2 linked regions of the Caenorhabditis elegans genome follow. The protein of the gene in region 2 interacts with the protein of the main gene of each other region in a pairwise test. Each region holds a gene or a part of one and is shown on either strand. Other genes may lie near its edges.

Region 1 (7,541 bases), on a different chromosome or scaffold from region 2:
TCTACTCTTTAAAGGCGCACACCGTATCGCATTTAACAAAAACATTCTAATTGTATTTTATATTTTTCATAAAAAGAAAAGCTATAATAGTTTTGAAACTTTTTTATTTCCATCGATGGCGCACACGACACTGGAGGACAAACCAAAAATTACAATTAATATCGATTTTTAATGAGAAATGGGAGAGACAACGTACACGAATTTAGCAGAAGTTTTCTTTTTTTTTAATAGAAGAAACCTAAAGGAAATGTAATAATATTTCTAACAAATTTGTCTGATCACCGTCAACAAGAGGATATAGAAGAAAAAACAAAGAATGATGAGTTGAGCAAAGAAAAAAGATCCTAAAGATCTCTAAAAGAGATCCTTTCGATTTCGGGTCTCGAAACGAAAACGATCGCACTACAAAAGAAAAAAAATTGGAAAACTTAGAAAATATGAAAGAGTCTGAAAAATGAGATGGGCGGCGGCTGGGCTCACTCTGATTGAGGGAGCACTGTCATTTTTAGTCGCGTTTATCCTTGATTGGAGCTTCAACTGAAAATCACCAAAATTATTTCTTTTTCCAGGGAAATTTAGTTTCAAATCCTGCATTGCCATGGACGAGATCGACAGTCGACAAAATTGCACACCATTCGGTAAAGAAAAGAGGCACTCCCTGAACAGACACATTGGTTAGGTTAGAGAAAAAACAGAAGGAAGTAAGGTTTTTTAAAGGATCACTTTTATTTGTGAGCTCCTAATAGATTCACACGCAACAAAAATTAATTTAAAAAAAGGATAATAATAAATTATTATGAAAAAAGGGGAGAACAATGGGGATGTGGAGAGCGAGAGACGTAGAACTTTCAGTGGACAAGAAGGAAGGGAAACACAAAAAATTAGCAAAAAAAACATATATATTTGTAGGGAAATTGTGGCGATTTGGACAAAATACAATGAGCAACGAGGAAGAAATCCTAAAAGTAGGGAGAGGGGGGTTTACACGAAGGATTATGGATCAGTTAACACACTGCAGAGAGAAAAAGGGAAAAAGGCCCAAAATGATTAGAACAAGAAAGAGAGAGAAAATAAAGAGAAATCATCACAAGTTGTTTGAGAGGCGGTTGGTTTGGGGGTTAGAAGAACTTCAATCACAATTCGTTATGTAACTTGTCGGGCGTGACAACCGCGTCGAATTTCGACGGATCGACAGATGGACCGACGAGCGCATGGTTAATGAGCTCGGCGTACGGGCCCAACATCCACGCAAAGTAGGCGAGCGTCACAGACACCCAGGCGAGCAGCGAGATGGCACTACGTGCCTTCGCGCCGACCGTCTCCGGCTTACCGTCGATGTAGTTTCTGGCGATGAACTTGAGAATTTCATCGAGAAGGAGCACTGGCAGTGAGATCTTCAACACGGCGATCCATTCGACCCAGTTGAGAGGGGTGATCTGAAGATTTGAATTAGATGTTTCGATTAATATATGATTAATTGTGATACCTGGAAGATGGTGGCCATGATGTCAACGTAGAGAATGACAAAGTGAAGAGACATCGAAAGGGAAATGGCGGCCATCAGCCAGATGTTCTTCCATGGTGGCATCACTAAAAGCGATTGATTCTCGGAAAGTGAGTTGATGGCGTTGAGCATCTCAATGGTGACAAGCACGGACAGAGCCATGGCGTTCGGGTGATTGTCCTCGAATACGGCGCAGTCAAGATCGGCAAAGTTGTCTGGCTCGATTTCACATCTCATCCAGTGAGTGAGCTGGTAGTAGGTGATCTGTGGTCCCTCCTCGTACAACAAGAACCACCACATTGAGGCTCCGACGGTGGCAACTCCGACGTAGGCTGGAAAATTTCAATTTTAGAATTATACTTTTTTAGGGGAATTTTTTAAACGTACTTCCGACAGCAAGATATCTGAAGAAGAGCCATCCAGAGATGAGTCCATCGTTGGCTGAACGTGGATGTCTGTCCATAATGTCAAGATCTGGTGGATTGAATCCGAGAGCAGTGGCTGGAAGACCGTCAGTGACCAAGTTAACCCAGAGAAGTTGAACTGGAATGAGAGCCTCTGGAATTCCGAGTGCGGCGACCATGAAGATGGAGACGACTTCTCCGACGTTAGATGAGATGAGATATCTGATGAATTGTTTCATGTTGTTGTAAATAGCACGTCCTTCTTCGACAGCAGACACAATGGATGCGAAGTTATCGTCAGCAAGAACCATTTCAGATGCAGACTTGGCGACAGCAGTTCCTGATCCCATAGAAATTCCGATTTCGGCCTTCTTCAAAGCTGGAGCGTCGTTGACTCCGTCTCCGGTCATAGCAGTAATCTCTCCCTGGGATTGAAGGATATCGACAATCTTGGACTTGTGAGATGGCTCGACACGGGCGAAAAGCTTAGCTCTGCGGCAGGCTTCAGATTGTTGCTCTGGTGGAAGATCGTCAAATTCACGTCCAGTGTAAGCTTTTCCAGTGGTATCCTCGTTCTCTCCGAAGAGTCCGATTCTTCTTCCGATAGCCTCAGCGGTGTTCTTGTTGTCTCCGGTGATCATGATGACACGGATTCCAGCGTGGTTACAAGCCTTGATCGAGTCCGAAACTTCAGTTCTTGGGGGGTCAAGCATTCCGACGACTCCGACAAATGTGATGTCTTGTTCGTATTTGACGAATTGGGTAGAGTCTTCGAGGTTCATGTTGCTAACGCTGACTGGGGTATCGATGGTTCCGAGGGCAAGACAACGAAGGGTATCTCTTCCGGTTCCGTATTGCACGCATTGGTCAACAATCTTCTGAGTCATGGCAGAGGTGAGTGGAACCTTTTGTCCGTTAACTCTGACGTGGGTGCATCTTCCGAGAACTCCTTCTGGGGCTCCCTTCACGAACATCTTGGCTCCAGATCCTCCGGAAGCTGGGAAGCAGTAGGCGGACATGGATTTACGATCACGGGAGAACTCGAGTGTGAACTCCTTCTTCCATTTTTGTTGGATGACACGGTTGCAAACTCCTCCGAGCTCCTTTGGTGAAAGTCCGGCTTTCGAGGTTCCGAAAACATTCATCTTCTCAGCAAGAACGATAAGAGCAGTTTCAGTGGCTTCTCCGACTTTCTCGTAGATCTTCTTGGTCTCATTGTAATCAACAGATGAATCATTGCACATAGCGCAGATCATGGCCAACTCGGTGAGTGATTCGAATTCTCCAGCAGCTGGGTTGATTTCACGTCCATTGGTGGAAACCTTTCCGACTGGCTCGTAGGTGGATCCGGAGATGGCGAACTCGGTGAAGTTGATGTTGTCTCCAGAAGCTTGTCCAGCGATGAACATCTTTGACACAGACATCTGGTTGGTGGTGAGAGTTCCAGTCTTGTCAGAGCAGATAACAGATGTGCATCCAAGAGTTTCGACGGATGGAAGGGATCTTACAATAGCGTTCTTCTTGGCCATACGGCGAGTTCCGAGGGCAAGGCACGTGGTGATGACAGCTGGAAGTCCTTCTGGAATAGCAGCGACGGCAAGAGCAACGGCGATTTTGAAGTAGTAGATTGCTCCCTTAACCCATGATCCACCGTGAGCTGGATCGTTGAAATGTCCAATGTTGATAGCCCAAACAGCAACGCAAATAACAGAGATAACCTTGGAAAGTTGCTCTCCGAATTCGTCCAACTTCTGTTGAAGTGGTGTCTTCTCATTCTCGGTCTCAGCCATTTCGGTACGGATCTTTCCGATTTCAGTGGTCAATCCGGTTCCGAAGACGATTCCACGAGCCTTTCCAGATGCGACATTGGTTCCCGAGAACAGACAATTCTTCTTGTCCTGGTTAACAGCGCGTGGATCTGGCACAGAGTCGGTGTGCTTGATAACAGACACAGATTCTCCGGTGAGGATGGACTGATCGATACGGATGGTGGTGGAGTAGATCTTCACAAGACGGAGATCGGCTGGGATCTTGTCTCCGACTGAAAAATATATGGTTTAAAATTTGAAAGTTAAAAAAAAAAGTTTTTGCTAACCTGAAACTTCGACAAGATCTCCTGGCACGAGTTCCTTAGCGCGAACCATCTGAATTCCGTGGTGTCCGGATCGGATGACCTTGGCCATTTCTGGTTCGTATTCCTTGAGCGCTTCGATGGCCGATTCAGCATTTCGTTCCTGGAAAATTATGACAAATTAGATGGAAATTTGTGGCAAATTGAGGCAAATAGTGCAGCCCAATCCATCAACTATTCTATCACCCAATATCTTTTTCACATATCCCTCACTTTTTGCGTACGTAAATGCGAAGCTCATGACGCACGCCTTTCCTTCATCATTTTCTTCTTTTTTCAAAAACTTTTCGGCGCAAAGAGCATTTCTTCCGGACCGCCCGTTACACTATTTTTTCTTTAGGGACTCTTTTTCCCTATCTCTCTCACCAACAAAAACAAGTCAAAAAGACATTATTTCTCTCTCTCTCTCTCTGTGCAATCACTCCTAGTTCCTTTCTTTTGATCTACAAAAACACAGAAAACAACTGTGCTTTTTCTTCTTCTTCTTATTTTCTTTCAGCGCGTGCGCCTGTCTGTGTTGTTCCTACCTGCCACACTCCGACGGTCGCGTTGGCAATAAGAATGAGAAGGATGACGAACGGTTCGACGAACGCCGTCACTGCTTCTGTCTGATCTTCGTGCTCTTCGAAAAGGGCGAGCACAAACGAGATGATGGCGGCGAGGAGGAGAATCTTGACGAGAAGATCGTCGAATTGCTCGAGAATCAGCTCCCACAGTGATTTTCCCTCTTCGGCGGGCATTTCTGGAAAAAATTCAATTTTTAATGAGAAATCCATGTAAAAAACCAACCATTTTCTCCATATTTGTTCCTCAATGTTTCAACTTGCTGTGGAGTCAATCCCTCCGGACCCGTTCCGAAGAATTTGCACACCTGGAAAATAAATTGTATTAAAAACTAAAATTTAAAAACTATAAAAGTACCTCATTGGCGTCTTTGGCATGCGCGTCCTCCATGTTGACGGCTGTAACCCAAGTAGTTTGGTTTTATCTGAAAATTGAAAATTGAAAAAAATAAATAAAGTAAGAAATGCTAGTTTGATGATGAAAAGGAATAAGAATGAATGAAGAAGTGATAAGCGAGAGCAGGAGAGAAGAAGAAGAAGAAGATGAGGCCGCCGGTGGCAGGAGCCCGAGCACACAGCCAACACTGAGCTGTGCTGGCAGAGAGAGAGGACCCGGTGTAAAGTAAAATAAAAACATCTCTTTACGACAACGGGAAATATCAGGTTCGGCAGGGAGTAACAGGCGGAGAAACTCGAGAGATGAGGTGGCATCCGAGGAGAAATCAGACGATCTTCCCTGATATCTCTCGGCGGCTTCCCAGGCGGCGCCATCTCCCGACGACATCGCGCGCCGGGATCCTGTGTGCTCCATTCTCTGGAGCTTCTCGGCTCAAAAGATGAATAGAGAGAGAGAGACAACGGAACGAAATCAAGCAGGGATAACACATAAAATCTCGACATTGTGTGTGTGTGTGTGTGTGATATGGCACACACTGGCGGTGGTGGTGACCTTTAGTCAATCCAGTGTAATAAAAAATAAAATGAAAAACGGGGAGAAAAGATATCATGGTCCCAGTTCCAGCGAATTTTAATTCTAGACTGTCATTTTTGGAGAGAAAAGCGACGAAAATTGCGAAACTATAGGGATGTCTCGATTTTTTGTTCAAAATGATGACAAAAAACTAATTTAGATTCGGTTTTCCGGAAATGTGAGACTAGGCGAACTTTTTTCGTGATAAATCCTGGCCACTGTGACTGAAATCGTGGCGAGACCCTCAATATTTCGGGAAATTACCATATATTTCGTGTATTTTTGAAAAGAAAATTGCGAAACAACAGGATTTTCACGATTTCTTGTTGAAAATGATGACAAAAACCCATTTTAGGTCCAATTATGCGGAAATTAAACACTAGAATTTGAAATTTTATAAACTTTTAAACCAAATGAACCACTAAGACCGAGATCGTGGCGAGACCCACAAATTTCGTGTATTTTTGGCAAGAAAATTGCGAAATTACTGTAATTTCTCGATTTTCTATTAAAAATGATGAGAAAAATCTATTTTAGATTCTAAAAGACATGTAAAAGGCGGAGTTTGATGCGAAAATCTATCTCTCTCTCCCCTCCAAACCGTAAAGAACATTAATATCTTTCCCATCAATCTCGGATAAAACTTCATTATTTGGCCAACTTTTTTTCATTTCTGTTTGTAAATTCTCTCATCTTTTGCTCGGACACACACACTTTGGCAGACAGAGCGCAGCAAAAAATTGAATCGAGAAGGAAAAAATCCGTTGATCTCATATTTTGAGAAACAAGCGAGGGGTGGGAATTTTTTTTTGAATCAATTTCAACGAGACACACTCTTTCTGAATAACCAGTTTTCTTTATCAACTTTTTTTTTGATGAGAAATAGAAAATGTATGTCTGACCTAGACTTTTAGAACAAGAACTAGAACTCTCTGGCCTAAAATTTTAAAAAAATTTCCAGATAAAATCTAAATGGACGGAAAACAAGAAGGTAGAAACGTCAGGAGTGGTGTACCATTTAAAAAAAATCAATACACCAAGGGGAATAATGAGGAGTGAGTGGGGACGAAAGAGCGGGAGACTACGAACAACGATGACGTGTAGTAATACCACCGAAAGTGAGTGTGGTGTGTAGTTGCGCGTCGAATGTGGTGCATTCACGACCGCGGCATACAAGGAATCGTCGAGAACACACGAAGATGATTGTGTGCTGCTGGAGGCGGAGGTGGTGTGGAGACAACCGACCCACAAAACTGCATCACTTTTTTTTTGTGACCTACATAAATATAAAGTAAAGAAACCAAATTTTTTTTGTTACTGGGTGAAAGAGACGACGCTCTTGATAAGGCAATTCACCGTCTCAGACGTGATGTTTTTTTTTCCTGTTGGGTCAAGTGAGAGGAAGCACGGTGTGAAGAGCCGAGTGCAAATAGACAGCGGATCACTATTATCACAACAACTAATTTTACGCGGGGAGGAAAAGATAAATAGTGTTCTTTTTTCGTGTTTTTCCTTTAAAAACAAACTTCTAATTTGAGCTTTTACTCATTTCTGAAGACTTTTATTCTAAATCGGCAAATTCTTTTAATTGAGAATTTTCAAAAAAGCTTCTCGTAATTACATCTTAAGATAAATATTAAATTTAAAACAAGAATTTTTCTAGTACCCATGAATTAAGCTAGTTTTTCTAGAGTTCTTGAAAAAACTTTTGCCTATTTAGTAATTAAAAAAAATTGAAACTAATTTTTATTTTTTAAAATTTAAACTTCAAAACTAGCGGCGAATGCTGTCTAAAAAGTGTCGGCTTAAAAGGAAGACTTACTACGGATGTTTTTTCGGCTCCGTTCTCTTTTTCCTAACATCGTCAGCCTCTTCCTTTTACAAATCGGGAAAAAAAGCTAAAAACCCACACCTTCATCAAGGAATATGGGAGTCTATGAATCGATTAATGTGTGAGAGAGTGAAGAGA
Region 2 (4,497 bases):
ATTGAGCCAGAGAACGGAACGATATAATCGAATAACAAATGAAGCAGCAATCGCATTACATTTCGAAAACCTGAATTTGAACACGTAATTTCTTTCCAAAAAGTGATGTCGGAGTCTCCGGCTCGGAGGATGAGCCCGACTTTTTCCGGGTTTTAGATGGGATAAGCTGTCGAGAACAGAATATTACTAATTGCGGCGCGGGACGAAGAAGCCGAAGCCGATCAAAAATCTGAACGTGAACAAAGGAGAAACTCCTCATTCTTGGTGTGTGGTTGAGTACCTAACCCTATCTACTAACCAAAAAGTTAATGTTTTACCAAAGAACCACACAGACCAACGTTTCTTTGTCTTGGCAATGTTCGTCGACGCCGCCAACTCACACCCCACTCATACATTTTCAACAGTGTCAGCGCAAAAAAAAGACGAATCTTTCTCTTTTTCACTTCTCACTTATTCTTTTGTTCCATTGTTCCGATAATTTAAAGACAAAATGACGAGGTAGGAACAACGAATTGCCGATAGTTGGAAACGGGGGAACTTTGTGTGCAACAAGACAATTGTGGAGCACATTTCAGGTGTATACTTGTTGGGAGGTATTCGATGAATTTTCTGCAAGGTAAACAACATTATTTTAAGAGCACTTAAGTGTTATAAGCTTCTGTAATGTTCTCGATCGGTTCAGAGTCCACACGAAAAATAATGCTTTGAATTTCGAAGTAGTATGTGAAAAGGAAATTATAGTGAATAAAATAAAATAGGTGATCTTCAAAAATGGTCACGAAAGTTACCTAGGTCTAAGCATTGCTTGGCACGTCCAACAAACTTTCATTCAAACATTCTTGTTTGCTGATCTAAACTGCTGAAATTTGTCGAACATCCTTACGATGGATAAATTTTTTCAACCGGTTTTGGCCTCCATGAGTTACTGTGAGCAAGTCAAAAAAATAAATAATTACTAAATGTTTGAAAAAGTCCCACAGGCGTACTCAATTTTTAAAATATACTTACGGCCTTGCATTGTAATATTTTCCGTAAATGCAATTTTACTACAGATTGGATAAGTCTAATTATTCAATTTTGGAAACCAGCAAAATTGGTCTAAAACTGAAATGCAAAATCTTTTTAAAAACTTGAACTCTGTGATGCGCCTCGGACTTATAGTTTGTGTTCTTTCAAGCGCTCAAAAATTGGAAGAAAACAACAACCGTTCCAATTTTATTTCCGTAGAATTTTATGATCAGGAACAAAAAAGCACAACAAAATTGAGAAATACTCGCATTCCATTCCAACATTTATTAAATTATGAAATTATTTGAAAAAATAAATTAAGTAAGTGAAGAACGCCTGACAAACAGTGAACTTTTCGCAAAAAAGAATATCATTTGTGTTCCAAAAACCAGAAGCTTGCAGGCAAAAAAATCCTAGATTCTCTCAAGAGCACATAACCAAGGTTAGAGGATTTCTATACATATTTGATAAAAGCAAACAAAAACATGAATCATCTCAGTGATTTTTCCAAGTTCTGGGTAGGTTCAAAAAGTAATGAGAATTTTCAATTTGCGGTTTTACCAAAATCATAGGGGTTTATTCATTTAGGAATAATTTTATATGAATATTTATTGGTATAAGACGTTTGATCGAGCCTTAAATGTTTTGACAATCATTTGGAAGAAGACTATATTTTTGCGTTAATCTTCTTGATTAAAAAAAACCACCATGAGAACAGCTTATGGGAGTAGTTCATTTTGGAACGATAGTTCTTATATATTGGGGGGGGGGGGGGGGAATATGTTTTATTATTACGATTTTTAAATTAGAAAACCGACAAAAAAATCTGTTATTAGGGTCAAAAATATCAATTGAAATATACTATTGCATGCACTACTACTAATTAGAAAAATTCGGTATCTTGTTGGGAAACCCGCTATTTGTGAGAATGTAACTATGGGAAAATATATAGGGTAGAATGTATATTTACGGGTTCTCCTTGCAAGCATTAAAACCTCATTCTCATGATTGTTTTGCCATGTTCTTTGCTTTTTCATGTTACTTTGTTTATATGTAAGCTCTTTGAATTTTAAATGAGAATAAAAATTTCTAGTTATATTTCCATAACCGTAATTTTCCTATACAACTTGTACCTCCATTTTTCTACTTTAGCAGGTTATATCTCGGTCGTCTAAAATTTTCCAAAAAATGTTCCAACATCAAAATGTAAAAGAAAATATTTTGCACATATTTTGTTAATTAACAATTTTTCGATAAAATCAGAGAGAACCAAGATACAAAATGCAATAGTAGACAAACGGGATCATATATTTTAATATCGTTACTTGCCTTTTATGATTTTGGTCTAAAGATGCACCATCGTTACACTTCTCTTTTTCTCTACTCCTCCACACTCTCTCACCCTCCCCTCACCACTATGTCCCCCTTCGCACATTATCGATTCCTGCAGGCCTCTACAAATTCAAACTCAAAATGAGCATTTCTCTGGAGAGTAAAACAAAACTGCCTCAAAAAATTCTAGAAATCATCACAGATGGTTCAGCTTTGCTTTCGATTCCGATGAGCAGCTCTCAAGCGTCGGAGGTAAGTGATTTTCAAAACATTTTAGTGTTTAACAACTGCGATCATTTTTATTTATTTTCCAGACCCTTCTCACAAGTGCAAAACAGTTTAGTCATGTGGAACAAGTTATAGACAATACGGATAAGGTAAGATATTTCAAATTTAAGTTTAAATAAAATAATTGTAAGCCCTTTTTTAGCTTCTGCGAGAAATCGAACAGATGGTAGACGGGGTAACCAAAAATGCTGAGGATATGGAAAAAGGGTGAGTTTTCAAAAAACCATACTTGAAAAAAATTTAGACGGAGTGTCGTTTTTGGTATTTTTGGTTTAATATTTATCAAATAACCTCAAAATGACATATAAAAAAAATGCAGAAATCATTGTGTGAAACACGATGTAAAATGTGAAAAAACAACGTCGACAATTTTTTTGACAAGACTTGCGCAGGAATTTGTATTCGCGGAGTACTTTTGCTAAATTATTGGCATTGAAGCTTTTTTAATTTTGAATAAATTTGATAATTTAAGTTTAATTCAAATGTGCCTTCAAATCCGTACAAATATTTAAGCTCACCGTACAAAAAAATCCTGCAAGATAGTATTTCTGTCCGCAGCCGTCACTATTTTTTTCGGCTAGTACTTTTTGTTTGATATATATGGTATATTGTGGTCTAATGGAGCATTTTTCAAAAGCATCGAATGTGAACAGTGTATTGAAAAAAGTTTCAAACAATAATAATGGAAAAATTATATAATTTATTCACTGACTTTAATCATAATTTTTAAAGCATAGGTTATCAAAAAGTTGTATTGTTTTTTTGTTTAAAAACCTACAAAATGTGTTATTCTATGTATTATATCTTGGATTTCAGATTGGATATTGTATGCGACGTTCAAGAATGTCTTCAAAAGGTGGAACGTCAAAACTACTACAGCGCGGTGCCCAAGTCATTTTCTGCCGACAGTTTTTCATCTTCTGTCGCCGGTGAACGTCCCAATCCGCCGAATAATTAATTTACGTTATGTAATGATTGTAACAATAATTTTTAACTAATTTAAATCTCAAAGATTTGATCTCAGTGCAAATAAAAGGTGTAATTAATTAAGTTTTAAAAATGTTTTGGAAGAAATAAATAAAATGTAGAACTCACGCATTCCCGTAAGTGCTCTGTTATTTGGTAAGTACATGATAGTCATTTAAATACAAAAAAAACTAAAATTCATTAAACTATTCTAATGTAACTTTTCCAATTCTTCGATCCAACAACAGTTTTTCCAAAAAAAATGTATCTGATTAATAGACAATTGTTTTATTTCTACATATGATAGAGAGAATGGATTAGAAAAACAGAATTTCAAACTGAAATTTCTTGAAAATTACTATTCAGTGATTGTAAATTTTGATAATTTTCACCGGCCGGGACCGCAACTACAATTCAGCACTTTTTTCAAATTTTTGAACCCGCATAAAATAATTTGAAATTTTTTTTATTGAGAATTCACACTATGAAATTCACGCTTTGGGCATTTGATGTTGTTAATTTATTTAAATTTTTAAAAAAACGACATAATTTCACCTTAAGCAGTTGCTAGCATGCAAGGATCAGGGATGTTAAAATAAAATTCATAATTTTTCGTATCTGGAGTCATTTTGTCAGATTTCACTTTAAAAAAATATCGCCAAGAACATGAGTAGCTACACTTCTCAATAAGTGACGTTTCCGTGGCGTTTCTATGGAAAAGCGTTACTGAATTTTGTTCAGTTGTAAAAATTTATTTTAGTCGACAAAATGAATTATTTTTCCAAGTTGCAAGTACATTTTGCACTAAACATAATAAGGTATTCTTAAAGTAAAAGACAAAAAATATGCAGGTTTCTGTAATATTTTGAGATAAGTTTTTCAAATAACCAAAAACTCGAATTT

What was found.
Region 1: the proteins of blos-8 (region 2) and sca-1 interact in a two-hybrid assay, tested with the Caenorhabditis elegans proteins (one large-scale study listed by BioGRID).

Annotation. Positions count from the first base shown.
Region 1 is NC_003281.10:10,811,818-10,819,358, forward strand, and holds sca-1 (Calcium-transporting ATPase), read right to left. Parts: upstream 5,028-7,541; 5' UTR 4,994-5,027; coding exon 4,961-4,993; intron 4,911-4,960; coding exon 4,829-4,910; intron 4,782-4,828; coding exon 4,567-4,781; intron 4,143-4,566; coding exon 4,004-4,142; intron 3,950-4,003; coding exon 1,892-3,949; intron 1,837-1,891; coding exon 1,487-1,836; intron 1,437-1,486; coding exon 1,134-1,436; 3' UTR 715-1,133; downstream 1-714.
Region 2 is NC_003284.9:15,429,100-15,433,596, reverse strand, and holds blos-8 (BLOC-1-related complex subunit 7), read left to right. Parts: upstream 1-2,398; 5' UTR 2,399-2,481; coding exon 2,482-2,592; intron 2,593-2,654; coding exon 2,655-2,717; intron 2,718-2,770; coding exon 2,771-2,835; intron 2,836-3,444; coding exon 3,445-3,586; 3' UTR 3,587-3,678; downstream 3,679-4,497.